4 linked regions of the Drosophila melanogaster genome follow. The protein of the gene in region 2 interacts with the protein of the main gene of each other region in a pairwise test. Each region holds a gene or a part of one and is shown on either strand. Other genes may lie near its edges.

Region 1 (7,725 bases), on a different chromosome or scaffold from region 2:
AAGGCCGTTCCAATCAGAACTGGCGCTGGTCAGCGCTGGAGTCGCCTGCCTGTACTCCAACGGAGTGGTGCCACGCGGGCCTGGGCGTCGCGGATTAAGTGCCCCCCCAAAGTCAACTAGTTAGACGGGTTAGCTGCGACCGTCCGCCTGGATCTCGTAATCGCAGACCCCGCCGACTGCCGGCGGTTATCAACGAGTTCAGTGCGTGGCAACAATTACTTTTGCACTACTTTTGCGCCAGTTTATAGATCGTAAGTGCAGCTCGAACTATGCATAATGCTTAGCGGCGAGTGCATTTTAAGAGGCTAAACAACACGCACCGTGGGACTAGAACTCCATATACCCACCTATATATATACCATACATACACATAGCATATACCATATAGTAGAGCTGCCTCCAACATAAGGGATTGATATACACAAGGGAACTAACTATCTGCAAGCTCATTAAGTATCTATACTATTTAGATTGTTCTGTGTCGAGTACGAATCTACATGTTTTAAAACCCTAACAAAATATCAATAATTCACAGATAAGTTTCCCATAAGATAGGGAAATCATTCATAGATTGCTTGTTTTATAATTGTAAACTCAAGTGGTTATATACCATATACAAACGTATGTATGTACATACTACCAATTTCACTTGAACTTGTGTCAAATCTCATTCCTCAAAACAGTTCAAATGTTCAACAATGAAGATTATCTGAATATTATAGGTGTATTCGATTGGGAAAGATTTTACGAACAGTGGGCGCTTACTAATTCGTTGACTAATTCGTCAAGTTTGTACCACTGTGCCGAAAAAGAGGGGCTGTCACGATTTGCTCTCATAATAATATGAATTTCAATTTCGGTTTGGCTGCGGCTGTTGCATTTGATTTTCAAGATATATTTAATCATTTCCAGAGTAATTAACAGCTTTTGGTTTTTCAAGCATTGGCGCAACTGGACAATGGTTAGCAACTCTCGTTTGCAATTCGCATTCGCATCGGAATTGGGTGAAAAACCAGTTTAGACCTTCGATTTTCCGAAAGTTTTGACCAAAGTTTTGACACTTGCTGCCTGAGTTCTGCATGTAAATTAGATTTTGACTGCTGTACCGGTTGTTCAGGTCTTTTCAAATAGGCAACTATGCATAATCTAATTTAAGTCATAGTTACTTATATACATATATAAAAGTACCATTCAAAACACTAACTTTCGCGTTGGCAATGCTGGGTATCTGATAGTCGGTTCGGTTGCATTTGGCGTTCCTTCTCGCTGTAACCTTGATGTATTGCTGTTGCATAACCAAAAAATGCGAATCTGGTCCAAAATTCATACGAAAACCAGTCGGTGCCACACCCCTCCACTTTTGGCTGGGAACCTAGACGAAAGTGAAAACTCGTTCGAATTTCCATTTTCCAGCAAAAGCTGGGAAAACCTGGAAAACACAGGATATCGAGAAATAAGTATTGCATGTCAAAATCAAAAACTGGACAAATCTCTGTCCCGAAAAATGTCGGAATTGCAGACACAAAAAAAAAAAAAAACGACAGACAACTGAGCAACAATTTGCTGAACATTTCGTTTGAATACCATTAGTCATGTTGTATGGAAAGCCAAATCGCCTTTTAATCAGCAGCTAAGTTAAGTTAAGTATTCTCGGGAAATTCGACAAGGTAGAGATGCTACCGAAACAGCCAAATCCAGCGGCTTATCTTTCCGGGTATTCATCCGAATCGCAATAGTATTAGCCACGTTAAGAGTTCGCTGCCCTGATTACCAAGGGTAGCTATGCCTCCGATTATTGGTAACTATTCTATTGTCGGAGGCGCAGATAATGAGATAATGAATTCTCGATTTCGAATGGGAAATGCACAGCAGGATTTGCCTGTGTATAAATGGGCCAGGGAAGGGTGATTCGCTAAACAGTCGTAAACTAGGAGCTCCAGGCGAAAGATGATCAAGCTATTGGCTATATTGCTTGCCATGGGAATGGCGATGGTCCAAGGAGCGCTGCCGACCCAACTATCAAATAATCAATGGACACAACACGATGTGTCCTCCATGGCGGATTACGAACGGCTCCTGGATCTGCGCTCCCTGGCAATGGAGTTCTATCGCGAATTTCGGAACATTTCAACGGCGGATGTGCATCTTCTGGGTGAGCGGATTGGATCACAAGATCTACAGTGCCTGGCCGATATGGCCCAGTTTATGAGTGCGCTTAGTGCGCCCAAGGCGTGGGCCCTAAAAAGTGGGTATTACAACATCTTCAACTTTGATGCCATTTGAGTTTATCCCTTCTATGCGAAGTGCTCGACGCGTGGGGCACCATTCCATCGGGATATCTCATTGGCAACCGCGTCGACATGGGCAACTACAGGGAGTGCCTGTCCGAGGGCGGAATGCTCACCTCATCGCAGGACATCCAGGGAAAGTACTGCTTCATGGAGCTGCCGGTTGCCAAGTGGTTGGGTTTCACTTCTGAGCTGCTGGCGGTGACCAACATAAGGACTGCTGTGTGCCTGCCTTCCTCTTGCTCGGCGGGCACCATGGAGCTGTTCCTCAAGCAACTGCTCAAGCGGCTGCTTGGCGTCAGTGATCCGACCAATTTGTTTTCCATCAGCGAGACGTCGTGCAGAATCAAGGAGAAAGCACCCTGGGATGGGCTCACCATATTCACAGTGTGAGTAGTGTCTTGATACATCCTAGCTGATCTATCCATACTAACTGACTACCATCAGCGTTCTACTGTCCGTATTTGGTGTCACGGTTATCCTGTGCACCCTCTACGACTACTTCTTGTGTCCGGAGCAGGGTAAGTAGCTGACATAAATCGGATAACAGCCTATATGTATGTATATGTACCATATATCCATGTCTACCCGCAGAAAAGCTACCCCGTCCCATCGGCGCCTTCTCAGCCCGTGCCACTTCGCGTTCGCTGTTCACCATTGTGGAGAACACGGCGAATCCGAATGTAATCCACTGTCTCAATGGCATGCGGTGCATGTCCCTGATCTGGGTAATCTTGAGCCATGAGTACATTATCAACATGAAGGGTCCCGCCATCAATCCAGCGGACAACCTGCGATGGGCGACGCAACTCTTCTCGAGCTTCATACTCTACGGTACCTTGTCGGTGGACACGTTCTTCTTCATCAGCGGCTTGCTGCTGGTTTCAATTGGCCTGCGAAGCATAGAAAAGTGAGTCAACTTGTACAGGGATTAATCCGATCTGTAGGCAGGCTAACATTCTCAATGGCTCCAGAAACAAGGGAAAGCTAAATGTGCCGCTGATGTATCTGCACCGATATCTGCGCCTCACTCCGATCGTAGCCGTTGCCATACTGGCATTCTACAAGATGATACCCCTCATCGCAGACGGCCCAATGTACGATGATATCGGCTTTTTCGACTACTCCGGGTGCAAGATGACCTGGTACTGGACTCTGCTCTACGTGCAGAACTACGCAACATCCGATGTGGTGAGTTGAATGTCCAAGTTGATCAGGAGAGGTGGACAAGCCCATCTAGTCCGTCCGTATCAGGATGGATCTGTATCAACCTTATATACCTTAGAAGTTACAATAATTAAAAGTGTTTAGTGGCTTTACTGCGAATAGGAGATCACTTCGATAGATGGCGCCTGCAGCACTAGAATTGATCGTTGGCGCCATCTATGTAAGTTCGGTGGTACCATTGCCATTGCAGTTGGAGCTCTTGACTATATCTGTATATTTATCTATCTAATTATTTGATTGTTGGTTGCTCCTTAGTGCGTGCCGCATACCTGGTACTTGGCGGTGGACATGCAACTGTACATCCTGTCCCCGATCCTGCTGATCGCCCTCTACAAGTGGGGCAAGAAGGCGGCCGGAGGTATCCTGGTGGTCACTTTGTTGCTCTCCGCCTGCCTGTTTGCCACCATAATGGTGAATGACTTCCCTGTGATGTTCAAGTAAGCCAGTCGCGCCCGCCGTTTTGTGTCCCCCAATGCTAATTGCAATTACTAACAGGAATGGAATTCAGGCTCAGGTGGTTCAGAGGAAGATCTACACCGCTACGCATACCCATGCGGCGCCCTGGTTGGTCGGTACTATGTTCGGTTATCTCCTGCACCTGATGCGCGGCCGAAGATTCAAGTTAAGCCTCCTGGCTACCTGGGCAGGCTGGCTGCTCTGCCTGGCCCCGCTCTTCACCTCGATCTTCGCCTTGTATCCGTACTCCAAGCTGCTGGGCAAATCGCCCTCAGTGTTGCAGGGAGCCCTCTACTATACACTGGTCCGGATCGCCTGGCCCCTCGGTCTCTGCTGGGTGGTCTTTGCGTGCATGCAGGGCTATGGTAGTCTGGCCAACAGCTTCCTCTCCTCTCCACTTTGGCAGCCGTTGTCCAAGCTCTCCTACGGCGCCTACATCTGGCACATCTTTGTCGTGGAAGTCGCCAATAGAAGCGTTCAGACCAATACGTACTTCTCCAACTATCAAGTGGTAAGTGTGTGGCAGGCAGGGTCACTCGACATTCCTATTGGACTTGAACGCTTCATTTCCAACTCCATAGATGCTCAACTTTTGGTCCACCTTTGGCTTTACCCTGCTGATGTCCTACGTGCTCTACGTTTTAATTGAGGCGCCTCTGGAGGCCTTGGAAAGAATTATGTTTCCCAATCGCAGAAGCCCGCCAGCAGCAAAGGATCAGCTGCATATCGAGTCCCGAACGGAAGTCGTGGACCAGATGGACCAGATGGATCACATGGACGGGATGGATCAGGTGGTGCAGCACGAGAAGCGCAGTGATATCCAGCCTGACCTGGAAACGAGTGCCAACAAAACAGAGACTGACCTCGAGTTATCAAATTAGACTTATCAGCTCCTATTTAGCCTTTATTAAAACGAACTACTTGTAATCTAGGCACAATTAACTTAACCACGGGTCTAGAGTTACGATGGAATGAATGGTCCTTGAGTTGAAAAGTCTTGCACTTAAGACGATATCAGTCGTTATCTGGTTGCGACTTTTGCGACCAGGTGGGTTTCGAATTAGTCATGAAGGTGATTCCCGACTTTGGCTTGCTGTAATGGGCACACAAAGATTTCAATTCTGACTCACAGAGGCGATGCACGCCCCATTCAGTTACAGAAAAAAAGAAAAGAAACACAAAAAAAAAACAGAAGGAACGACTTTGTCTAGTGTCTCGACTATCAGATATGTATGCACCAAAGCGTTTACAAGTTTTTCAGTTTGATAAGAGCCAAATCTGTTGATAATTTACATTCCATAGATTACGTATTTGTATTTGTATACTTGACTTCCCCACTTTGCTGACCATGTGTCTTGACTTTCATCTGCGTAGTGACGAAATGCTATGTTTATAGTCAGGAAATTGGAGAATTTGCTCTGATAAAACGATAAAATCAATCGATTGACAAACCAATCGAAACGTATTTATTAACATTTTAAACTTGTATTTTGGATGCTTAAAGTGGGCGGGGCCAACATGTTGTGGGCAGATCGACAGAAATGGGCAAGCCAAATAATAAAAGTAGGCGTATCTGCGTTCATATGGATGGACATGGAAGTATCGACTCGTCCAGTGATTCTGATCAAGAATATCGGAATCGCTTACCGTACAATGAATTTCGAACACAGTTTTAATACTTTACGTAACGCATGAAATCATATATTTTAAATGTAATTATACTAAAACGTTGCTCTTTTCGGGAGCAGCCTGAATAACTTCGTCGGGTATCGTGGATATCGCTTCCGCAGGCTTACCTACTGGAGATTCTTCGACTGATGCCTTCACCTCCGACATCCTGGGCTCCACCACCGCGGCCGGCTTGGCATTTGGCCTCTTTGCGGGCAGCAAAAGGCTTTCCAGACCGGCGAATGGCGCTTCGATTAGGATATGCATGAGGTACGAGAACAGAATCGTAAAGCCAAAGTCCGTCCAGAATCGAAGCATCTGGAGATAGGGGGATTCTTAGAATGGTCAACTCCGCGTACAAGGGAACATGGTACCTACCACTTGATAGTCACTAAAGTAGGTACTTGTGTGCGTGATTCCACCGTTCAAGCTCTCGATGAACATGTGAAAGATGTAGGCGGAATAGGATAGCCTGGACAGCGGCTGCCACAGGGGAGAGGATAGCAAGCTGTTGGCCAGTCCTCCGTAACCGTGCATGCAGGCGAAAACCACCCAGCAGAGACCAAGGGGCCAGGCGATCCTGGTTAGGCTTACGTAGAAGGCCTCCTCCACAATGGGCAACGTGTTCTGACCATAGATCGAAAACAGGCAGCTGGCTATCAGTGACAACGCAATCAGCCATCCCAGGAGGACAGCCAGGCGGTTCAGCTTGAAATCCTTGCCCCGGTTGGTATGAAGAAAGTAGCCGAACAGTATGCCAATCAGGTAGGGAGAAGCACGAGTCTGTGTGGCATAGTAGAGCTTCCTCATCGAATCACCGCCGCTTCCTCTGCAAATAAGAGAATTGTTCTGAATATCTTACATATAAGTATCCCTAACATCCACTTACAGCGATAAATCATTGATGACCATGATGCTAAAAAGACAGCCGGCCAGCAGGAGCATCAGAACAAAGATTCCGGCAGCCGCCTTCTTGCCCCACTTGTACAGGCAGATCAGGAGGAATGGTGCAAAGATGTACAGCTGCATGTCCACCGCCAGGTACCAGGAATGACTTAGGCACTGCGAGAAACCGTGGGTGATATAAGGTGATACAAAATGTCGTCATCGAAGGACCCTACCAGGCTATCAGTCGCATAGTTCTGCACATAGAGTAGTGTCCAGTACCAGGTGCTCTCACATGCTGAGTAGTCATCAAAGCTTATTGATCCTTTAAGTGGCCCGCTTTCCCACAGCGGCAGGATCTTCATGTAGAAGAGTATGGCAATGGCCAGGATGGGCGTGAGTCGCAGATACCGATGCAAATACATTAGGGGTATATTCAGCTTTCCCTTGGTTCTGGACGGAGTAACAACACAATGTAAGTGAGTAATTGAGTAATTCAAATGATATCCCTATCATTCAAGTCACAACTCACCTATCCATTGATCGCAGGGCAATCACCACGAGCAACAGACCGCTCAGGAAGAAAAATGAGTCCACCGCATAGACCGCATGTTTTACAAACAGACTGTAGAATGAGTTGATCCACTAAATAATGGGTAATTATATAGAACTTTTACGTTTTTCTTTTACTCGCCCAACTTACCGTCAGAAGGTAACCCATATTAATGTTGGGCGACGTGGCAAGCACCATATAGTCATGACCGTAGACCACCCAGATGAAGGAAAGGCATCGGATCCCATGAAGACAATCGATGACGTTGGGATTCGCCTTGGTGTCCACAATGCGGAATAGGGCACGCGAGTTAGCTCGTGCCGAGAAGGCTTCTACCACTGGATGGATGGTTTCTACAAGCACGGACGATTACTACGGATTCAAGGATCGCATTCGCGAAGAACTCACTCTCATCTTTGCAAAAGAAATAATCGAAAATAGTGCAGACGCCCACTATAGCACCCAAGATCGAAACGATCACTCTGAAAGTTTACGTGTTAACCAAATCTTAGACCATCGTCGCATCCATCATCTCTTTATGATTATGATCTCTACTTACATGGTGAATATGGCGAGGCCATCGTACGGTTTCTTCACTGCGGTCTGGCATGTCTCCTCGGCGACGATCTGCACATCTGCATCAATCTC
Region 2 (6,477 bases):
CAAAAGTTTATACCATAGTTTATTGTTTACCAAAAATATGACCTGTAGTTAAACAGCAGTTAAGCAATGGAGGACCTGTGTCGAATTTGTGGCGGGGCCTCGGAAAACATGCTGGGCATTTTCGACGATCAGGTGGAAGAATATGTTGATGGAGCCAAGCTCGCTGAGATGGTGAAGACATGTGCCGACGTGCAGTTGGATCCCGACGACGCTATGCCCCAAAAAATGTGCATTTCCTGTGTCCACGATGCACGAACTGCTTACGGATTCAAGCGAAGATGCGAAGAGAACTACAAGAAGTTCTATTTGGCGATATTAAATGGGCAGGTCATCAAGGACGAGCCCAACGAGGAGGATTTCCTATTCATTGAGAACCCAGACAAAGGCAATCTGGAAGCAAAGAAGAAACTCAACAAGGAAATTAAAAAGACACATCAAACAGCTTCCAGAACAACCAAGTCTTCCATAACAACCAGTAGAGCTGGCAGACAGCTAAGGAGTATAAAGAATCAGACTTTCAAATGCGAACTATGCATCAAACAGTTCAAGCGCCAAATAAACCTCCTGGACCACATGAAGTAATTACAATCAATACATATGATTTCACCTGTTCTTAAAATTGTATATCTCATTCCACAGGGTTCACAGCAATTCACACGTATGCCAAAACTGCGAAGAGCGTTTTCTGTTCAAGGCCGATCTGGATAACCACCAATGTTATCGCAATAGCAATTCCACCGTCGAGTGCCCGGAATGCTTAAAGGTCTTTTCAAGCACCCAGAGCCTGGACAGCCACAAATGCAAGGATATGCAGGAGCGTTCGCCCTTTCAGTGCCCCCACTGTCAGCAGGCCTTTACTCGCGAACAAAACCTCAAGGCGCACCTGTTGATCCACGCGGAATCGAAACAGGGAAACGGACCCCACAAATGTTCATACTGCCAAACGGGATTCTTCAACAAGTCGGCCCTCAAGGTGCACATCCATGCGCACATGGGCGAACGGCCGCATGCCTGTCCCTTCTGCGTGTCCAACTTCCGTTCCAAGCAGGCCCTTAAGGTCCACATCCGCATACACACGGGCGAGAAGCCCTACCAATGCCCCCACTGCCCCAAGACTTTTTCGGACAACAATAACCTGGCGAAGCACCGACGACGCCACTCGGATGAACGGCCCTACAAGTGTTCCATCTGCCTGCAGGACTTCCGGGAGAAACATCATCTGAAGCGGCACTTTCTGGGCAAGCATCGGGATGGAGATCAAAAGCTAAAGCTAAAGTGATACCTTAAATTCTTGACCAAATACCACGGCTTACTCGAATAAATAAATTAGGATTCGGTTATGTTTATATCTCATTGTTTCTATAGTTCATATTGGGATTTAATTGAATTTAGGATTTATATTTTCGTAGAATTCGAACAGCACTTTGAAAACCATTTGGAGTGGCAACACCGTTTTTCTGTAAATCAAAATTCGATGTAGACACGACGATATAGACAGCGTTGCCATTCGGCCGTGATTTGTTCACGTGGCACCACCATTTTGATAAACAAGCTAAACAACCCTTAAATCGCTCGAAAAGAGCAATGGAAAAAAACAACAAGTTGTATGTTTATAAATTATAAGTCTTACAAATTGTAATTGTGGTTTCCGTTTGCTTAGAACATCAAAGCAGCTACCAACACACAAAAAATACCGAATATTTCTCGACGTAATTTTCCCTAGACGTCCTTACAATTCGTCGTGTTCGCTTTGATCTTTGTCTTGCTTAGATTCATCATCCTTCTCCTCATCGTCATCATCCTCGTCCTCATCGTCCTTGTCGGAAGCCTTTTTCGCCTCCTCCTCGTCCTTCTTGCGCTGCACCTCATCCTGGGCCTCCTTCATTTTCTTCTCGCCCGCCTGGGTGTTCTTGACTTCGGCAGCAGCCTTAGCGGCCAGCTCCACGTCGTCCGTGATCAGGACGTTGTCGAAGATAGTGCCGGACTTGACCTGCCAGAGATCGAAGCCCAGGGTGCAGATCTCCTTGCGCAGATACAGCTTGTCGTCGGGCACATACTCGGGATTGGCGATCTCGGGATGCTCCCAGGCGCCCTTGTAGTTGGGGTTGTCCAGCTGCTTTGGCTGCCACTCGCCCTTGAACTCAGGGTTGTCGATCATCGGTGGCTCCCACTCGCCGTCCATCTCATCGTCCCAATCCTCAGGCTTTGTGGCATCTGGGTCGGGAATGTGCTCTGGTTTGTCCCAGTCCTCGGGCTTCTTGTCATCGGGATCGGGAATGGTGGCCTACAGAGATTTACGTTGTTGTTTAATAACAATGAGCCAAACCGGTTTTTCGATGGGCTAAAGTCTGATTTGGGCGGGGATTTACAACTTACCCTATCGTCCCAGTCTTCGGGCTTGGTGGCGGTGGGATCCTTGATCTTCTTGGGGGCCAGGAAGTCCCAGTCGTCCTCCAGGTTGCCAGACTCCACCTTCTCGTTGTCGATGAGCACCTCGTACGTGTTGTCGGGTCTGACAATCAGCGTGTAGAAGTGGGTGTACACGTCATCTTTGCAGCGGATGTCTTTGCTGATTAGGTGGTTCTTGCCCTTGTAGCTGAAGATCACATGGACCTTCTTGGTGCCGGGTCCGCAGATGTCCGGGCCGAACATGATCTCGTACGGCGACTCGCCGTGCATGTCGGTCTGGTCGAGGGAGCAGTCGAACAGCTTCACATAGCCGCCGCCGCAGTCGATATTCTGCTCGTGCTTCACGGAGAACTGCACCACGAGGGGCTTGTCCTCGTTGGAGAAGCCATCAAACTTGCGGCTGGCCGCGTAGAATCGAGCATCCTGAGAGGTCTGAATGCCTATATAATGTGTGTCCACATCAATACGAATGCGCGCCGCGCGGAGGTGGGGGGCGAGAAAAAATGTGTATACAGTTACTATAGCTACTCGAAAACGTACACGTAGTGGTTTTTCTTCTTCTTCCTCTTCTTCTTCGTGCCCATGTTCTCCGCATACACGGGCACATACAAATGCAGATAACACGCCGACGAAAAATAAAAATGGCAGAACGAGCGAAGAGAAAGATTTGGAAAAGGGAGTGACGACACATCGACACATATACGCTACCTTTGTCGGCCTCAGCATCGTTGTAGAAGGTACCGGGGGTGAGGACGAATTTTCCGAACTCCTTGCCAGGATGTTTGCTGTAGATCCACGTATCCTCCCAGTTTTCTACGGGAACAAGCGGGGGAGTGCTTTTATTATTCTTCTATTTTTATTGTCTCTCCTTTCGTTATTCATTGAAGGGGAGCGGAGGACCACATGGCGGCCATAGAACGCGATGACTACCACTTACCGTTGTCGAAATTCTCCTTCAGATAAACCTCGGCACTAATAAAGCCGACTGTCGCCAGCAACACTATCACTGTTTTGCACCACATCATGTGAACGATCCCGCACCACTTTTTGGACTGACTCTTCCAACTCCGATGGTTGTCCGAACTCGGTTAAAGTTAAGTACTAAATGCCGGCAAGAAAGTGCTATTTATTTATTGCATCTAAATCGTGCGTGTCGGAGCGGGACGGCTTGTTACTGAAATTGGTTTGCTGGAACGTTTTCATTGGCCCAAATCAGGCCAATCAGGGATGTCTACGTATTCTTTTTCACCGGCCAGGGCTGATTTCGATAAGCAATCGCATGCTGCCCTGTCGCTATCGATTGCTTGAGCTGGAATTAGAAACACTAAAGTGACCGTTTGCTAATTAAATTAAATTATAAAATATATAAAATTAATATATTCTGGCATACAATTAATCACTTGCAGCAGGCTAAGCTAAGAAAACATAAAATTACTCCAATAACAATTCTTCTACTACTTAACAATTGTAGTAGTTACAGGAAGAACAGTTGTGCTTCCAGAACATTCCTAAGCTTTTTAACGGCTTAAGGGTTTTGAAAATTTTAACTCACACTTACATCACATGTTAACAATTAAGTTTTCACCCGATAAAGTTCATAGTATTTAAAAAGTTAGAATGTTAATTATACATTATAATACAAATCAAAAACAAATAAAGGAATTCCAAAACTTTGCACCTGTATTTCGTTAATTTTAGGAACTTTTTTATCTATAAGTGCTAACTTTTACATTTGACTTTATTACATTAAAAAATTACAATTTTCGCTGGAAATGTATTATATTAATAAAAAAGATAAATAGCCAGAAATAGAAAAGTGAAATTAAATTAATTAAAACAAAAAAGCTTTGGTATTTATACCAATAGACCTTCTAAGGTATTTTTTAAGACCTAGCTTTGTGGCAGATACGGTAAGTTCGTGTCGAGCCCACGTGTTGAGCCAATCTTATCAAACGCCGATTCGAATGCGGCATTAAACAAATGGATTCCCTTAACAACGGATGGTTCAGCGAACTGCAGGCCGATCTCTGGCCCGGTCAGTCATTCTCCCTGAAAGTCAAGGAGGTCATCCACAAGGAGAAGTCCCGGTTCCAAGACATCCAGATCGTTGAAACGTAAGATAAATAATAGATAAACAAATACTTGGACACACAACCCCATTTGTTTACATCCGAAATTCCTCAGTCTAGACTGAAGTTTGAAGATAGATGTCAAAATAAATTAGCTTAGATTGAGATTAAAAAACTAAATTAAAATCATTATAAACACGCAAGTCACACAAATCCGAAATTTTTAACAGCTTAAGCTGTTGAGATTTTAAGGACTAACCTACAATAGCCTAATCCCATATGTATCCTACATTGAAGGTCCCTAAATCATAGATTGTAGAAATCGAAAATTTTCCACTGGTTGTTCAAACACAAATTGCCCAGCCAGCATTTTCGGACCCTTTGGTTTTCGTGTGTTTATTCTTGATCTGCACCAACAGCCTTATCGATGGAGTCATCTAGGGCCAAAAACGACAGACAGAATACTGATAGCAAGTCAGCTCGTCTTTCAGGTTTGAGTTCCTCCAGTCGAACATTGGGTACACTTGCGCCGCTGAAAAAATCAATAATTCGATAATTCTATTACAGCGAAACCTATGGACGGTGCCTAATTCTGGACGGAATCATTCAGTGCACGGCCAGGGATGAGTTCTCGTACCAGGAGATGATATCTTTCCTGCCGCTCTGCGCCCATCCCAATCCCAAAAAGGTCCTGATCGTGGGCGGTGGCGATGGCGGCGTTGCTCGCGAGGTGGTAAAGCATCCACTGGTCGAGGAAGTGCATCAGGTGGAAATCGACGACCGTGTCGTCGAGCTGTCCAAGCAATATCTCCCAGCGATGGCCTGTGGTTTCGCCAACGAGAAGTTGAAGCTTACCATTGGCGATGGATTCGACTATATGAAGAAACACAAGAACGAATTTGATGTCATCATCACCGACAGCTCGGATCCCATTGGTCCGGCAGTGAGCCTGTTTCAGGAAAGCTACTACGAGCTAATGAAACACGCGCTGAAGGATGACGGAATCGTGTGCTCCCAGGGCGGTAGCTTCTGGCTGGACCTGGACTACATCAAGAAGACCATGTCCGGCTGCAAGGAGCACTTTGCTAAGGTGGCCTATGCCGTCACCTCCGTTCCGTCCTATCCCTGCGGCCACATTGGCTTCGTCATGGGCTCCCTGAACAAAAACCAGGACTTCGCTACTCCCAAGCTTGGAAAGTCCGAAATCGATTCTATAGACCTAAGGTACTACTCCTCCGAGGTTCACTCCGCCGCCTTTGCCTTGCCTCGATGGGTGCAGAAGCACTTTTACGAATGACCAGGTTGCGGAAAGATTCGTGTGTATCTGTTTGTTAAAAATAAATATGATAATAATATGACTTGTTTATCATCGCTTCTTAAATTCTTGGATATTTTCAACAAATGCTGACTCTTGCAATGATTCATTTTTAGTCGAATTTTTGTAGCCTGAGTATTTTCCTTCCAATCCGACTACCATCTTTCAGTTATTTTACTGTTGAAAATAGAACAAATTGTAATGTTTATTACGTAATGATATATACAGTTGGCTCTATTTAATTTTTGTATTTGTAAGTGGATGCTGGGTTAACATAATGAGACTTATTGCAATATTTTACACGACCGAATGTTACTCTCATTTATATATCGCATATATTGCAAAACTTTGAAAGGAAGCGTTTCTTATATGCAAAAATGACCTTAACTGCATGTGAATAATTAACTAAAAACTGATATTCAATTTCAATAACTTAATAGAAATTAAATCTTCAACCTGTTTAATGACTAATTAAATATTGTTATAGTTAGGAAACGCAATTGATACATAATTACAAAATTAGATGTAAAATATGTACAATCATTTAATATTGGTTTTTATTTTCTCGCCTATTCTAAAGTTAATTATCATTTCTTTTGTGTCGGATAGATTTTGGTGTCTAATGTGCGTGTTTTTATGTGTAATAAATATAATGTATGTGCATTGCGATTTTGGTAGCCGAGC
Region 3 (9,850 bases), on a different chromosome or scaffold from region 2:
TGTCAACAAAGAATGCATCTAGTGCGTCTAAAAGCAGCCAAAAGGACCACCTGGGTGCCGCCTCCAATGCCGATGATCGAGCTAATGGCCGCCAAGGCATGGAGCGATGACATGGGGTTCGGTCTAACGAGGAGGATGGACGGCAGGTGTCACAGCGACGGGCGCACTCTCTTCATCCATCCGCTTGGGCCGCACCACTCGACGCGGGGAATCCGGATCCCGGCCAGAACTTCAAACGCTTGCCGCGCACTTCGTTTATTTACACAAGAAACAAGTTTATGCCCGAGAAGAACCATTCGCAGGCACTTAGCAGGCGCTCGCGTTTATTATCTTAATAATAATTTCAGAGTTCAGGCGGCGCTCTTTGACGCACAACTAGGGATTCCTGCTCGCATGAGAATGGGATTTGGATCGGTATCTCTGGGTCCCGACCAACTGCACCGTGCGAACCGGAGGCGGCAACTAAGCGAATCGAGAATCTGTTGGCACTCGCGCTTCCCAAGAGCCAAGTGCACGCCAAGCGATTTGTTTATCCATCTGCTGCGTACGCGCGAATTTGTTCGTTATTAATTGCAATAAATGGTGTCGGCGTGGGCGCTTTTATTTATTTCTGTTTTTTGTTTTTGGTCGGTATGAAATGTTTGTTTCTAATTTTCGCGTAACCGAAATATTTGAATAATTCAGCGCCCTCTGGTGGCGGGTAGCGTTTGATGGCGATGGTTGTGGTTACGCATTTCAATGCTTTTCAGCACTGGTAATTTAAACAACTCAATTTGAAATCTACAAATATTCAAACCTTTCTTTTTCAATATTGCCTTTTGAGCCACAATATTTAGTAAGTTTATTTATTTACAGATATTTTCATGCTTACACTTATGTAATAACCCTTCTTCGTAATACTTTTGCAGCTAATCTACAACATTCTAATTTCAGTTAATGACCTGACAAGGTGCCACATCCTCGATCTCCTCGCCATCGAGGGCTTTGATTTGGCACTGGCACAGGAACTGCACGATCTTACGCTCGGCACTTGCCCGCTCAGACGGACTCAGTCCGTCCAGCAGCATCTGAGCCTTGGCAAGCAGGCTGTTGGCAGGCTGTGTACTTCGCTGTTCTCGCTCCTGCTCCTGTTCGTGGTGAATCTGGGCCTGCAGCTCCCGGGATTGCTGAAGCACGGTCTCCATGTTGGCAATCACGGTGGTCAACAGTTTGTCGGAGATGGCGGCAGACGGTACAGAGTCCCCAGGGAGAGAGGAGGACTCCTCTACGACGGGATTTACCCTGGCGATTGTGTGAATTATTTCCTCACTGGTGGCCGGCGTGGTGGTGGTCACCTGGAGCTGCTGTGGTGGCTCCAAGTCCTGCCGTGCCGTCGCTTCGCTGAGGATAAAATCGTACGGCGTTGCTTGCTCCGCCTCCGATAGTATCTCAATCTCTTCATCGTAGGCCAACTCAAGATCATCCTCCAGATCGTCGTTGTCCGTACTGTAGGGGTAATCAGCGCCCCAGATTTGCTCACCACTGGAGATCACCATTCCCTCCGGCTGTTTGCTGGTCTTTCCCGAAGGATTTCCTGCTTTGGGTGGTCGTCCACGTCGCTTGATGTTCTCCAAAACCAGGGGCACTCCTTTGCGGAAGTGGCGGCCCAGAAAGAGAAGGTCGTTAAAGTACCTCCACGTGATGGGCGTGGACTGGTTGATCTGATGACTGCGGAACTCCCGCCCGAAACGATCACGCAGCTTCTTCCAGCGGTTGTAGCAAAGTTCCTCTATTGAAAATTATCGGCATTAAGGGCTGAAGATCAAGAGGGTTACCCCGAGCTCACCCGACACATTTAGGTTTTCAGAAATCTCTCGCCAGGCTTCGTTTTTCGCTGCTAGGTTCTTGGAGACTCTGATCTTGTGACGATCATACAGCACGGGATGAGACTTGACCAGCTCAATGAGCTGCTCGTTCAGCAGGTCATCCTGGGAGTCCTCCTCCTCCTCGTCCTTTCTCCGCCTCTCCTGCTCCATGTCCACTTTTGTGCGCTTTTTCCGCTCCCTGGGCTCAAAACGCATCCCGTCGAGACTCTCGTTCCTTGCCAGTCCCTGTTTGTAGTGATCCTTGAGAAAGAGCAGTCGCGGAAACATGTCCCAGTAGGTGGGCTCATCCGGACGCTCCTGGAAACGGCGAAACTCCTTGCCGAAACGATCGCGAATGCTCTTCCAGCGCGTAATGCACGCCCGTTCCGAGGCTCCTAACTTCTGGGAGATGGCCTTCCAGGCCGCGTCCTTTTGCGCCGCATTCTTCACGCTCCTCGCGCAGTCCTTGTCGTACAGGATCGGGTGTCTCTCTATCAATTTAATCAGCTCATCGTCGTCCATTGATTTTCGCTATTATTTGTTTTTATTTATTCTGAACGATCCGGCAGCCTGGCGGGAAATATTGATAGTCGATAGGCGATGGGTCATCGCACAAAAAGGGCTGCCAGATTATTCTGTTAAAAAAATGTGCCTCTTAGTTTTATAGCACCGTTATTATAACAATGTTAAATAAAATATTTGTGTGTTTGTCTTAAAATGTCTTAATACATATTTATAATTTAAAGTTCGTGTGTACGAATTTCGTTTAAAATATATTCTATTTTATATATTTTAAAGAAAATTCTCTTTATGTTTGTTAAAATCTGCTGGTTTGAATTTCTGTGTAACCTGATAACATTGATGGTCGATAGCTCGATACTTCAATCTTTCCATCGGTGAGTTTGCCCCATCTCTATTGTGCTACCTGGCAACGCTGTGAGCAAGGAAAATACGGCAGCGTGCTCCCCGTTTTCCATCCACGTTTTGTTATAATTTTATAAGTATTACGGTCTGAGACCGATTTTGCACTGCATCGTGCGCGCTGCAAGTACTGGCGATTGGAAATTGGAGGCGCGAAAAGAGGATAAGGTGGATTTTCTTGCAACTGTGTGTGTGAGCATTGGAATTCGCCCGTGTGTGTGGCGAGAGTGCGTCCATGTGTGTGTGACGGACCAAAAAAGCCGACATCAGCGCCCATTTTTTGTTGTTGATTCATTAATACGCCCGTCATGCACCAGTATTGGTGAGTTGGAGCAGCGCACCGTCTTACTCGCACTCAACGGAGCGCAGAAAGAGCGCAGGGAGCGGCAGAAGAAGAAGCAGCGAGCAGCAGCACCATTAGCGGCAGTCAACGTCATATAATTTGTCATCGAAATTGGCACACTAAAAATAACAGTTAACTTCAACCGCCATGATCCTGCTGGAAATCAATAATCGGATTATCGAGGAGACGCTGCTGGTCAAATACCGTAATGCCCAGGCTGGGTAAGTCAATGCCTTCCAGTCCCGTTTCCCCAATTTCCATTCCACCATTTTGATTTCTATGCTGCATTCCCCACCGTTCTGTTATCACCAGTCGGCTTTGTTATCAATTTCGTTAGCTCTCTCTTTCCTCGGGAATAAATTTGGGTGTAGTTCCAGCCTTGGAACACTCATCGCTGCAGCTCTCTCCCTCCCACACACGTACCCAAGTACAGTGCAGCCCCCTTACGTCGACAGCGTATTAGTTAATTCATTACAACTCGCTATTCGCATCATCGGTGCTGAAAATCTGCAAAACTGACTCATCCATTGACGTGCATTCAAACGCATACGCTTGTGATGATCGAAAATATTAGTATTTATTTGTTCCTAATCCCGAAAAAGGATATTATTATTGAAGAAACATTATCAAAGGAGTCGTGTTACGAAAGAAATATGTTTAAGCTAAACGGTTTAGAAGAAGCTTAGACGAAGCTTACAGACTAACAAAATTATTAAAATTAGTAAAATAACTTATTGTACTAACAGCACTATCAGCAGAAAGAGGTATTTGTGTTTGGTAGCGAATGATTAAGATCTCACATAAATAAATGTATTTAAATGCTAATAGTTATGATGCCATTAGTTTATTCCCGATAAGATTGCAGTGTAATGCCTGAAATTAAGGCAATAAAAGTTATAAATTGTGGAACAAAAGTGGCATACTTGGAAAAAATCTCCTGTTGTGTCTCAAATGTTCCAAAATAAACCAAAAGGACGAACGGCATCCTGAATAATCAATCATATTATAGCAGATGACTTGTGTTCGTGTACATAAAAACTAATAGTTTCAATATTACTCCCCTATTATCTGTATTCTTGGGAGACAAAGTTTACATGCTAAAGATTCTCCATTTTCCGTGTCTACAACGCTCCGATATAAATTGTAACGCTTAAATCATCTTGAGTAATTCTTTTTGTTTCTTAAGATAAATACTTTCGTGTACATTATTGCAAATTTTAGGCTTTGGAGCCAAAGTGGCATTCTTCAAAAACAATATTTGATCTGTGTCTCAAAAGCTCCAACATTAACTAGAAAGACGAACGGCATCCTGAATAATCAATCATATTATAACAGATGACTTGTGTTCGTGTACATTTGCCATAAAATGTTCAACTTTTGTAATATTCTGGAGTCAAAGTGGCACGTCTTACGATCTTCCTGTAACTTGTGTCTCAAATGCTCCAATATCAAACGAAAGGACGAACGGCATCCTGAATAATCAATCATATTATAGCAGATGACTTGTGTTCGACTACAATAGTATTCGATTTATTAGACCAATAATGCCTCGGGAGACAAAGTTTACATGTTGAAGATGATGTGGCTTCTTTTTCGTGTCTACAATGCTCCAAAATAAATTGTTCGTTTAAATCGTCTTATTCGATTTATTTTATTGCCTAAGATGGTTGCCAACTGCACAACAACTAATTAAATATTTGGGTGGAGTTAAAGTGGCATATTTTATAGCTTTCCTTTGATCTGTGTCTCTATCGCTCCAATATCAATTTTATAAGCGAACGGCATCCTGTTTAATTACTTATATTAAGACAGACGACTTGTGTTCGTGCACAACTTCAAAATGCTTCAATAGTCATATGGAGAAAAAGTTTACATGCTAAAGTATTTTTCTTTTCCGTGTCTACAATGCTCCAATATTAATTGAACGTCTAAATCATCTTGGATATAATTATATTTCCATAGATAAATACATTCGTTCACAATACATTCGTTGTTCATATGAAAATGGATTGGAGTCAAAGTGGCACACTTAATCCATTTTTATTTGTGTCTCAAATGCTCCAATATCAAATGCAAAGGCGAACGGCATCCTGAATAATTATGCATATTATAACAGATGACTTGTGTTCGCCTACAATAGCTCCTGATAGCTTTACATTCCTTTATAAGACTCCCGTCTTCGGAGACAAAGTTTACATGCTAAGGATAAGATCTTTTTCGTGTCTACAATGCTCCAAGAGCAAATGTTCGTTTAAATCATCCTTGGCATTCAATATTTTTGCTGTGGATGCATTTAATTCGTGCACATATTTATAGATATGTATGTCGTGGAGGTAAAGTGGCATTCTCGGGATATATAAACCTGCCTGTGTCTCAAACACTCCCAAATCAACTTGGTTGGCGAACGGCATCCTGAGTAATTAATAATATTACATCAGATGACTTGAGTTCGCGCACAATCGCTTTAAGATCGCAAAGTACGATTTAGGAGCCAAAGTGGCATGCCTTGGAACTTTTATCCAATTTGTGTCTCTAATGCTCCGATACTAATTATACAAACGAACGGCATCCTGTTTGATCCTACATATCACAATAGATGACTTGAGTTCGTGTACATTATTCAGAAATATTTGTTTAGTTCTTGTAATTGAATTAAACTAAATTTAGATATCGGCTTAGCGATCCAGATACAAATACATACGGATGTTTTAATTTATTCGAAAACGCAAAATATAATTTTATTGCTGCTGGTTTCTTTTGGAAAAATAATCGGGTATAAACGAGTTTATGTGATAAGATACGGTGGAGTGTGGGGAGCATGACTAATAAGCAAGAAAATAAATGAGAATTTACTTTTTAATTCTCTTTCCAGACTGAAGCCTGAATCGATAGACATACGAATAGCAGACTTCGACGGCGTCCTTTATCACATTTCCAATGTGAATGGCGATAAAACAAAAGTTCGGGTAAGTGTACCGCGTACTATTCATTTAGGATAAATCCAACATTAACGATTTCTCACTTTTCTTGGGCTGCGAAACAGATCAGCATATCGCTGAAGTTCTACAAACAGCTGCAAGAACATGGAGCCGACGAGTTGCTGAAGCGTGAATATGGCAGTCTGCTTACAGACACGGAAGAAGGTACGTTCGTGTTTAAGTTCGGCATTTAAAGAAGTTAATTACTCTCGTCTAATTGCAGGCTACAATGTTTCCGTACTTATCAACCTGGAGGAGATTCCCGAGGACTGCGAGCAAATCGCAAAGAGAATCGGACTGCTGAAGCGCAACTGTTTCGCATCGGTTTTTGAAAAGTATTTTGACTATCAGGAGCAGGGCGAAGAGGGCCAAAAGCGTGCCGTCATTAACTACCGCAACGATGAGACTTTGTAAGTCAGAAAAATATGTTTTTGACTCGTCCAAGCGCTGACAATCTACAATCGATTTGCAGATATGTGGAAGCCAAGCCTGATCGTGTCACCGTCGTCTTTAGTACCATTTTCCGGGACGAAGACGATGTCATTATCGGCAAAGTATTTATGCAGGAATTGAGGGAAGGTCGGCGTGCCTCGCACACCGCACCACAAGTGCTCTTTTCGCACCGAGAACCACCATTGGAATTGGCCAACACGGACGCTAGGGTGGGCGACAACATTGGCTATGTCACATTCGGTATGTTAAAGGTTGAATGGTAAACCATGTGCTGTGGAGCCAAAGTTTACACGTTAAAGTGCATTTGTCTTTTCCATGTCTACAAGGCTCCATATAAATAGTATCGTTAAAATCATCTTGAACATTCTAGTTTATAAATATATCCAATGATAAATACTTCCGCGCACAATAATGCATTAAAGTCACCTGTGGAGTCAAAGTGGCATGTTTTAAATTACAATTTGAATTGTGTCTCAAATGCTCCAATATCAACAAGATATGCGAACGGCATCCTGAATAATCAATCATATTATAGCAGATGACTTGTGTTTGTGTACAGTAACACACCAACCCAGAATCCCCAAGCTGAATTGTTCAGTGGAGACAAAGTTTACATTTTAACAGTATTATCGTTTTTATGTCTACAATGCTCCGAAATCAATATCCGATCCAATTATCCAAAGCAGTCTTATATTTCCTTGGATGATTTCTTTCGTTACAAAAATGTCAGTATATTCCATATGGAGTTAAAGTGGCATATTTTTAATACTTACCCTAAATCTGTGTCTCTAAAGCTCCAATATTAAATAAATAGACAATCGGCATCCTGAATAATCAATCATATTATAGCAGATGACTTGTGTTTGTGTACAGTAAAAGAATATCTTAGACTGCCTTTTTTAAATGGAGACAAAGTTTACATGTTAACAATATTATCGTTTTCGTGTCTACAATGCTCCAAAATCAATATATTCGATCGAATCATCCGAAGCAGTCTTATATTTCCTTGGATGATTTCTTTGGTGCACAGTGCACAGCTAATGTAATCCCAATGGAGTTAAAGTGGCATATTTTGTATACCTTCCTTCAATTTGTGTCTCTAATGCTCCAATATTAAATAAGTAGACGAACGGCATCCTGAATAATCAATCATATTATCGCAGATGACTTGTGTTTGTGTACAGTACTTCTTAGAATTGAACCGATGTTACACTTTGAAATATCCAAAAGAAACAAAATAGTAACGACTCATACTTGTTTTTTGCAGTACTCTTCCCTCGGCATACCAACAAAGAAACAAGGGACAATACCATTAACTTAATTCACATGTTCCGAGATTACTTGCACTACCACATTAAGGTAAGTGTTGTATGCAGCTATGCAAAAATATCTTTTATATATTTGAAATATGCATTTTTGAGCAGTGTTCAAAGGCTTACATTCATTCGCGCATGCGAGCAAAAACCTCGGATTTCCTCAAGGTGCTAAATCGTGCAAGGCCAGAGCCCAAAAACACGGAGAAGAAAACTATAACGTGAGCATTGGACTTTCCATAACGAATTCTGATTACTAACTCGTGTTCTTTTTGCAGGGGGAGAACTTTCAAGCGCATCGATTGATGTGTTCAGTATATTTAGTTGTTTTTATATAAATACAAAAAATAAATTGTGTATTAAAATTCGATATCCGAATGGTGAATCCAACATAAACTAAACCAGATTGCAAGACAAACCCAAGTATTCCAAACAGAACCGTAAGGCTAAATGTAAGCTCAGCAAAATAATGATCAAAGAATTAATAGTTACGCGTTAGTAAATGAATTGTGTGTGTTTGTGTCGAGTCATCGTCAAATCCGTGTCTCCGCCAATTTGTTACAGTCATAGGCCGAGTCAGCGCCACAGCTGAGCCGCATTTTAAACAAATAAACGTAGACTTAAGTGCAACATGAGAACTAAAACTACCATGTCAAAGCGAGCAACACGACTAAGGGATGCCACCAACTTGTTATATAGTCGCAATGGAGGATTCATCCCCGCAATTAGCCTGTATGTGTAGAAAGCGCATTTAAAAACGTACTGCAAATATTAACAAACCTTTGATACAGCAATCGGAATTAATAAAAACGAGAAAATCAAACTGCAATGTAAAATAAAAAAAGGGACACTCTTTTAATCTCTAGCTAGCTGCAGACGCTCGAATACACTTTATTTTCTAGCTTATTAGCTTTTAATTGCACATAATGTCTTAAATGTTACTAATATTTCGCTTAGGTATACCATCTCCGCTGCACAATACTATAACAGGCACTTAGATCTTAAACTTAACATTCTGCTTCGCGTTCATGCTCTCCATGCTGACCTGGAAGTTGAGATAGTCGCTCTGGATGCGGGCACACACTGAAAGAAATGTGTTGGGTAAACTAAGTTGGGACTGAGGAGCGCTTTGACTGTTACTATTGAGATGTGCTACTTACTTACAGTGGCAGTGTTCATTGCGATAGAGAGTTTACTGCTTAAGTACTTCCGATAGTTTGTACAGGGTGCGGGTGAATTTACAGAGCCCCTAGGGATCATCGTACTGTTCCAATTTGATATAAGCAAGTGCTGTGATAGAGAAGCGGCAGGGCGAGATGGATAGAATAAGTGAGTAAATCGCTTAACACTGGGAAAAATTCGTTCCAAGCATGCGAAGAGTTCTCATAAATTTGGAACAAGTCCAAAACTCAAGAAGATACTGACTTGAAATGCAATTTTGATTATTATTCTATTAGAAGAAGATAACTGAGAGTGAATATTTTGAATTTGAAATATTTTAAAATAACGTAACAATATTAAAAAACCATTTCAGTCGAAATTAAATTGATTACTGGTGGGATAACTGAAGATCAAAGTTTTGTATCGCAAGCTACTACTTTTCCGTTTATGTTATTTTAAGCCCCTTTTTATAAATTTGCTATCAAGATTGGAAAACAGAAGTGCTTTTCGTCCAATTGTGGTTCGGAACTTATCTTAAATGGTTGTAATGCCATAAAATACTACAATTAACAAGTTATTTAGACACCTAATTATTCAGCTGACTAGCATCTCTCTATAAGAAATCCCTTCACATTCAAAAACTTCAGAAAGAATTTTTCTCAGTGTGAGGTAACTAGCGTGCGACAAGAGGAGTCAGCTGGAGGAGTCGTTTATCATTTTGTATATATACAAATGCGTGAACTCGTGTGGGAGGTGGGTGGTGGATGGGCGGGATAGTGAGGATGGGTAGGAGGAGCTCCAGACAGGAAAAGGGCTTGGCTCGCATTAGGGTGACAG
Region 4 (6,254 bases), on a different chromosome or scaffold from region 2:
CCGGATGCCCCTCCGCGAATCAGGTGGAACTTCTGTTGGCCCGCCTGACCCATATGTTGCATCCAAATCATTTTCACACGTTCAACCTAAAGCACACATTAATCCAGCTGTATGGTAACGAAGCTGGCTTGGAGTTGGGCGTGCTGAGCAACACGCAGCTGGAGCGCAAACTGAGGCTCTGCGGTGAGCTCTACAACGTATGCCGGCGACTGGATCCATATAGCATTAAGCTGGCTATCTATGTCACGGTCATCCTGATCGAGGTCGCCCACACGCTGCAGGAGCAGGCACGAAGGGCACCAGCAGAAGGAACTTCCCTCTTGGGTCTTGCGCAAAGCCGTCTTAGGGAAGCGCATATGGTTTTGGAGAAAGAGCAAGAATCAGTTGCCGGCAAAAAGCTAAACGAAAAATTGCAGATGGAAATCTTCGAGTGCGAAAAACTAATTTTAGCTCTTGCCTATAATCAAGATCACGAAGCCAATACAAAATAATTTTCTAGATCGGCGAAAGTGGTACAAGTGAACATTTTGAACACCGGATGCTGTTAGGTGCTGTTAAAACAAATCACACTTTGTTAAAATCCAATGAAGCGCCGTTCAAAAGAAATTGTAAAACGAGACTAGGAATCTTTTCAAAATACACATTTTTGTTGGGTTGCTTATAAAAACTATAAGATATATATAAAATAAGATTTTAAAATAAAAACATGTGCGCTATTTTTGATTCTTTGGAAAAATCCGCTAGATAACCGGGAAAACAGCTATAAATATCTATTTCCTACTGAACCTAAATGTCTTTGTAGAGCTATAATTATATAGCTTATTTTCAAATTTTACCTATTTCTCTTTAAATTACCAACTGCGTGACCATTGAAATTCACAAGGTTTGGTATATGACACATTTCCTGAAAAAAATCACTTCTTAATGATATTGAGCACCGAAGAAATTAGTTTACATAATTTGGAACAACTGACCCTTCGATGGGTCGAGGTTATCAACTATAGCAATCTCCCTTGTTTTTAGAATTAATTCAAAAAAAATTTGTGAAATGTATGGTTTTTGGCTACCGCTTCTAATAAGATCACGTTTTAAACATCTTACTTTTACTAAACTAGAGTCTTACGTTTTTTTTTTATAAATGACCTATTTTGAACTGTAACCGTCAATAAACTATGCTGACTTAAATAAGCAGATATTCTGCATATTCTTATCAAAAATTATTACCAGAATTATTGACCTGATTGACTGCTTTATAGTTTATCTGCCTATATTTATTTGACTATATTCAATTACAATGAATTCCTAAATTAATCTGTAGCTCGCAGTTCCACTCGCTGTTGTCGCAGAAGCTGTGGATGCGCCCTCAGGATGTCACGTTGTTGACGGAGGTTCTTGATAATTCCTGGCAAGTGCCAGGCGTGTCTGAGCAGACTATCTGTCACATCAAAATGGGCATGCCGCACGCAGCGTAGTTGGGAGCAGTGCGCCACGGTTCGGAGGTCCAAAGCCATATCGTGCACTAGCGTAGCTAAGTACTCCTGCGTCTCGTTGATGGCGTGCAGTTCCAGGGTGAAGTGCGGTCGATCGAAGTGAATCAGCTTAATGCCGTAGACGACGGGCTGACTGTCGTCCGCTGGGCGTAGGAGACCCCTACAGGCCAGTTCATAGGCCTCCTGGGTCTGCAAATCGACACCGCAGAGCTCAAACATCTTACGCTGATGGGATGCCTGCATGGAGGCGGCTAGACTGCTGATCCTGTCTGCGGACACGTGTCGGTGATTGGAGCGCATTATGACCCGTGAGTCTGGTAGGTTATTTTCGGTTGCGATGCCTAGGTGCCCGATTAGATGGTAGACCCGCACTGGTCGATTTTTCCGAATAGAACTAGACTGGCCTGCTCCCCTGTTGATCCCAAAGACTACAAAAGTATGGTTAGATCTGGATTTAAAATGTTTTACATGACTTACGCAGGACTCCGCTGGTGTGATCGCCCAGGCTGGACACTGTGGTGCAGATCAAGTCTCGCGGAAGGTACCGCGGTCCGGTGGACAGAAGGTGGTCGGATAGATCCGTCTGCTCTCCTATGTTATGTAGTACGTGATCTGCTGCAGTGCCTGTGCCCAGGAGGCTAATGTTCTCTTGCAACTTGCGTGGTTTCCTCTGCTCCATTTCGTTGAGTCCTTTTGCAGATCTGTTTTTAATTTCAATTTGTTCTTTAAATGGCGCTAGGCTTACCCTTGCAAATGTTGCTCAGAATAGCATTGCGCACGTGTTTCACCTTCATACCGGATGGCTTGTACACATTTAGAATGCCATTCATGTGCTTAAACACTGTGGCGGCATCATAAACTTTGGTGAGAGCCATTTCTGCTTTAAGTTACGTATGTGCGCTATTTGTTTTTAAATTCACATGACAGTGTTGGTGAACACACACGAACAGCTGAGCACATGTGCTGCCCAGTACTGAATAGGGTATAGACATGCACTTGAAACTTAATTTATAAAATTTACATATAAAATGTTGTTTTCAAATATCTCTTTAATTTTCTAAAAAAAAGTTTAGTTGGAAATAATTCTCAAAACGTTGTGGTCTTTATACCCGCAAAAAAACATGCTTGTATCACTGCAAAACAAGAATTAAGTCCACCGCACGAAAAAACAAGAAACAAATCCGATTGGGCTAAAATTTTCTATAAATTTTACAAATTTCACGGGAATATTCTCACTGTGGCTTGCATACTATTTGCTTGCATTTAAAATGACAACAAAACTGCACTTAAAGAAGTTATAATCAAATAAAGTCTTATGCGTATCACTATATTCTCACAAGAGAAGTGGTTTTCAACGAAAAAAATGTTTTAAACTGGTAAACAGCAAACTGAAGCCTAGTGACTACCCTAAATGTTATTAAAATATCGGTGGCCGTTAGATATCGATATAAACGATAACATCGATTATTAAGCATATGTCTTTTACATCTCTATTGCACGTGTAGGATTTGTTTTGACCGCACGAATTTGTATAGCCGCATACCATTAATTCACGTTTTAATCGCAAGTATTGAGAGAAACCGCGTCTTGAGATGAAGTGGACTACTGCAAATACCAAACATGTAAACTACACGGCGAAGCACGAACTGTATGTGGGAACACACACGGGCTCCTTTAAACGTACGTCCGCTTGTTCTTTATCGAACAGCATAATAATAATGACTTCAACTTTTTAGACCTGGTGCCTGCATCCGAGAAGACCCCTTATGGACAAAGCAACCTGAGTGATCTGTGCGCCCTGGATAAGGATTCCCGCGTCACATCTCTGGCCTTTGGCAACGACGATCAGACGGAGATCCTTCTAGGCCGGGCCAAGGACGCCGTGGAGATTCACTCCTTCACAGAAAAGGGACATTCTAGGAACACAGTATCCTTCAATGCTGCGCCAATTGTTGGTCTGGCCCGATACAATGACAAGCTTATTGCCGGCATTGGCAACGGAGAGATACAGAGCCTGGAGCTAGAGGCGAACGACGAGTCCGAGCCCGTGGTTATCGCCACGGGTGACCAAATGGACCACCTGCGCCAGTGCGCCCAAGTCAAAAGCATTGTAGCAACTGGCGGCAAAGAGCGTCAAAACAATCTAAAGGTCTACGATTTAAATGCCGACGGTAAGCAGATTTTCACCTCGAAGAATTTGCCCAACGACTATCTGCAGCTAGAGGTTCCGGTTTGGGACAGCGATATCGGCTTTGTGGATGGGCCTAGTGTACTGGCCACTTGCTCGCGAACCGGCTATGTTCGCATCTATGACACGCGTAAGCAGCGTCGACCTGTTGCATGTTTTGCCAGCGAGGAGCACGGGATGAGTTTTACGACTTTAGTGGCAAAGGGAAACTTTATTTACACGGGTACCACAATGGGTGCTCTAAAAGCCTTTGACACTCGACGCATGAAAACTCATGTGCATACGTACAAGGGATTCACAGGCGGGATAAGTGACCTTCATTTAGATGCCACCGGTCGCTTTCTGAGCTCTGCAAGCCTAGACCGATACGTTCGTATCCATGATTCCGAAACCACAGTGCTGCTCTACCAATGCTACGTGAAATCAAAGGCCACTAAGATTCTTATCCGACCGTTTGAAAACGAGGCACGAGTAACAGAAGAACCTGAGGAGGTCGCTGACCTTCAAATGGATAGAAACGTGAGTGAAAATAAGAGCGTCAACGCAACATCTGTGGACAATGAATACGAGGATATGTTTGATCAGATGCCCACTGTGGGGTAAGTTTAACTACATATTGAGTGATTTAATAATACGCTAAAATCTTATATTTTGGCCAACAGTGACAGCGATAATGAGTCCGAGGAAGAGATGTCTAATATTAAGCTTTCAAAGGCCGATCTAAAAAGAAGATCGTCGGAAAAGTCTTTAAAAAACAAAAAGAAAAAAGTTGTGATTAGTTAAAGCGACATGTATTTACGTATAAGAATATTAAAGAAAAAATAGTATAGATTTCGGTGGTTTTTATATTAAAGAACTAACAAACATGGCATCGTAGGTAGACACAGAGCTGTTTTAAAAAAGTTTCGTTGCATATTACATTCTGAACTGACTGTCGAGCAAGGGAACATGAGGTGCGTGCAAGTACTTAAAATAAATTATATTGTAAAGATGGAAGCAACAAACGTCGACTGCGATTATAGTGTTTTACCCCCAGCATAAAAATGGATTCGTGGCCTTCCTGTCATTTTTTCAATGAAGTGTTGGGTCTGTAAAAACATTGCAGCTTCTGCAGTCTAAGATAAGGTGTTGTTTATTTCCTATTTCTAAAAACATAATTCTCAAAAATGTTGGCTTTGGGGGACAGTAATGTAGGAGGCAACCTCATTTAAAGAGACGACTCTTGCGGTTCACCCTTTCTTTTATTTATGTTATGTGGAGTCGTGGTTTAGTGGCATTTTAATGGGCTTATAGTATAAGTATCTTATCCCTACTAGAGGAGTATCTTACATATGTTTAAATATTTATTTACACTAGATAGATGTACGGCAACGGAGAAAAATTAATATTGTAGCCATCAATAGTTTGGTATTATTCATCTTAAGTAAGCTTCTGTAAAAATCGTTTTGGCCACATAATATGAGATACACATAATATCATGTGTGTAGTATCTGAAGACATATATACATATGTTTGCCTATAAACTCATATTTCTCATAAACTAGAATTAAATGTTTTCCTGAAAAATGCAATATAGATTATTATAAATGCGTTATAATAATAATATTTCCCACTCGTTTCTAGATAAACAACGGCTTTGTTTTAAAAATTTAAAAGTATAAGAAAATAAAGCCAGAGCTCCTGAATTCATAATATGTTAAACAACAATGCTCATTATTTTGAGTTTAGGAACATAGTTGAAATTTTAATTCCATCAGATGTTCAATTTAAAATTTAATGTTTAAATGAACATTGCAGCTACTCGACCCGAAAAGCCAGAAAATTGCCCAGCAACGGAGACATTAAATCGAAGTTGGAGTCGCGAGATGGCATATTTTTGAATTTGGAGTGATAATTCCTTACCTAAATTAAAGCATGAGCTTTGAGCTCTGCCAAGTCCTAAAATTTCATTTGAACTACATCAGACTAAAAACTTTTAATTTCTTTTTCGAGCTAAAAGTCGAGCAGGTTAATACTAAGATACCAGCCAGCCAACTTCGAAGCGGTTTCTAACGCGAACACGCGTCCTGATTCGATAAGGCAACTCCCATCTTCCAACCCCGGCTGGACGGCCTTCACGGCATGCACACGCACTCGGAATGGTGATGCCGAATTTCGTCCTGGTATCATCTTTGGCATCTTTTTGGGAAACTGGTTCGGCGTGACGCAAGCATAGGTCGCGTGCTGATTGAAACTTGGATGTCAGTGGAAAACCTGGCCGACGAAAAACGATGGGGCGACTAACACTACCAGAGCTCCGCAATCTTTTAGCTTAAATTTTAATTTCATCCTTACGTTGCCCCCCACCTCCACCTCCATCAACGGTTAGTGGGCACCTTTTAGTTTTTCCGTCGGTTTTGCTTATCCAGATACGCGCCACGAAACTTTTGTTTGCCGACAAATAATTTGGCTCGGGAAGTTGGCGCCTCGCTCTGGTTACCATCGTCGAAATTTCAGCGAGTGAGCTTTGACAGCCCCCAAAAGTTGGACATGGGCTGACAATGTTTGCCGGAGCAGAGCTCGGAATTTTTAATGCA

Evidence for each region.
Region 1: the proteins of Calr (region 2) and CG14204 interact in a two-hybrid assay, tested with the Drosophila melanogaster proteins (one large-scale study listed by BioGRID).
Region 3: the proteins of Calr (region 2) and Arpc2 interact in a two-hybrid assay, tested with the Drosophila melanogaster proteins (one large-scale study listed by BioGRID).
Region 4: the proteins of Calr (region 2) and l(2)k09848 interact in a two-hybrid assay, tested with the Drosophila melanogaster proteins (one large-scale study listed by BioGRID).

What each region holds. Positions count from the first base shown.
Region 1 is NC_004354.4:19,581,695-19,589,419, forward strand, and holds CG14204 (uncharacterized protein), read left to right. Parts: upstream 1-1,922; 5' UTR 1,923-1,947; coding exon 1,948-2,245; intron 2,246-2,304; coding exon 2,305-2,677; intron 2,678-2,735; coding exon 2,736-2,809; intron 2,810-2,882; coding exon 2,883-3,198; intron 3,199-3,262; coding exon 3,263-3,479; intron 3,480-3,770; coding exon 3,771-3,952; intron 3,953-4,010; coding exon 4,011-4,482; intron 4,483-4,552; coding exon 4,553-4,852; 3' UTR 4,853-5,363; downstream 5,364-7,725. Other genes in the region: CG14219 (uncharacterized protein), read right to left, coding at 5,688-5,957, 6,018-6,468, 6,529-6,701, 6,761-6,977, 7,057-7,169, 7,228-7,430, 7,486-7,559, 7,637-7,725.
Region 2 is NT_033777.3:9,627,332-9,633,808, forward strand, and holds Calr (calreticulin), read right to left. Parts: upstream 3,521-6,477; 5' UTR 3,435-3,520; coding exon 3,347-3,434; intron 3,223-3,346; coding exon 3,118-3,222; intron 3,110-3,117; exon of another isoform or gene 2,924-3,109; intron 2,850-2,923; coding exon 2,377-2,849; intron 2,285-2,376; coding exon 1,730-2,284; 3' UTR 1,360-1,729; downstream 1-1,359. Other genes in the region: CG8319 (uncharacterized protein), read left to right, coding at 67-578, 640-1,279; SpdS (spermidine synthase), read left to right, coding at 4,390-4,523, 5,046-5,775. UniProt on the Drosophila melanogaster protein: Molecular calcium-binding chaperone promoting folding, oligomeric assembly and quality control in the ER via the calreticulin/calnexin cycle.
Region 3 is NT_033779.5:20,414,339-20,424,188, forward strand, and holds Arpc2 (Actin-related protein 2/3 complex, subunit 2), read left to right. Parts: upstream 1-2,718; 5' UTR 2,719-3,255; coding exon 3,256-3,329; intron 3,330-4,009; exon of another isoform or gene 4,010-4,143; intron 4,144-4,184; exon of another isoform or gene 4,185-4,316; intron 4,317-4,331; exon of another isoform or gene 4,332-4,466; intron 4,467-4,495; exon of another isoform or gene 4,496-4,629; intron 4,630-4,658; exon of another isoform or gene 4,659-4,795; intron 4,796-4,806; exon of another isoform or gene 4,807-4,943; intron 4,944-4,964; exon of another isoform or gene 4,965-5,092; intron 5,093-5,117; exon of another isoform or gene 5,118-5,247; intron 5,248-5,287; exon of another isoform or gene 5,288-5,418; intron 5,419-5,435; exon of another isoform or gene 5,436-5,570; intron 5,571-5,593; exon of another isoform or gene 5,594-5,727; intron 5,728-5,980; coding exon 5,981-6,074; intron 6,075-6,151; coding exon 6,152-6,251; intron 6,252-6,309; coding exon 6,310-6,496; intron 6,497-6,558; coding exon 6,559-6,779; intron 6,780-6,812; exon of another isoform or gene 6,813-6,936; intron 6,937-6,965; exon of another isoform or gene 6,966-7,100; intron 7,101-7,136; exon of another isoform or gene 7,137-7,262; intron 7,263-7,278; and 13 more. Other genes in the region: CG10949 (uncharacterized protein), read right to left, coding at 930-1,768, 1,826-2,366; CG15130 (uncharacterized protein), read right to left, coding at 8,847-8,935. UniProt on the Drosophila melanogaster protein: Functions as actin-binding component of the Arp2/3 complex which is involved in regulation of actin polymerization and together with an activating nucleation-promoting factor (NPF) mediates the formation of branched actin networks.
Region 4 is NT_033778.4:6,073,087-6,079,340, reverse strand, and holds l(2)k09848 (lethal (2) k09848), read left to right. Parts: upstream 1-2,973; 5' UTR 2,974-3,082; coding exon 3,083-3,170; intron 3,171-3,226; coding exon 3,227-4,277; intron 4,278-4,340; coding exon 4,341-4,461; 3' UTR 4,462-4,870; downstream 4,871-6,254. Other genes in the region: SmydA-5 (SET and MYND domain containing, arthropod-specific, member 5), read left to right, coding at 1-491; CG7849 (uncharacterized protein), read right to left, coding at 1,308-1,918, 1,968-2,180, 2,236-2,365.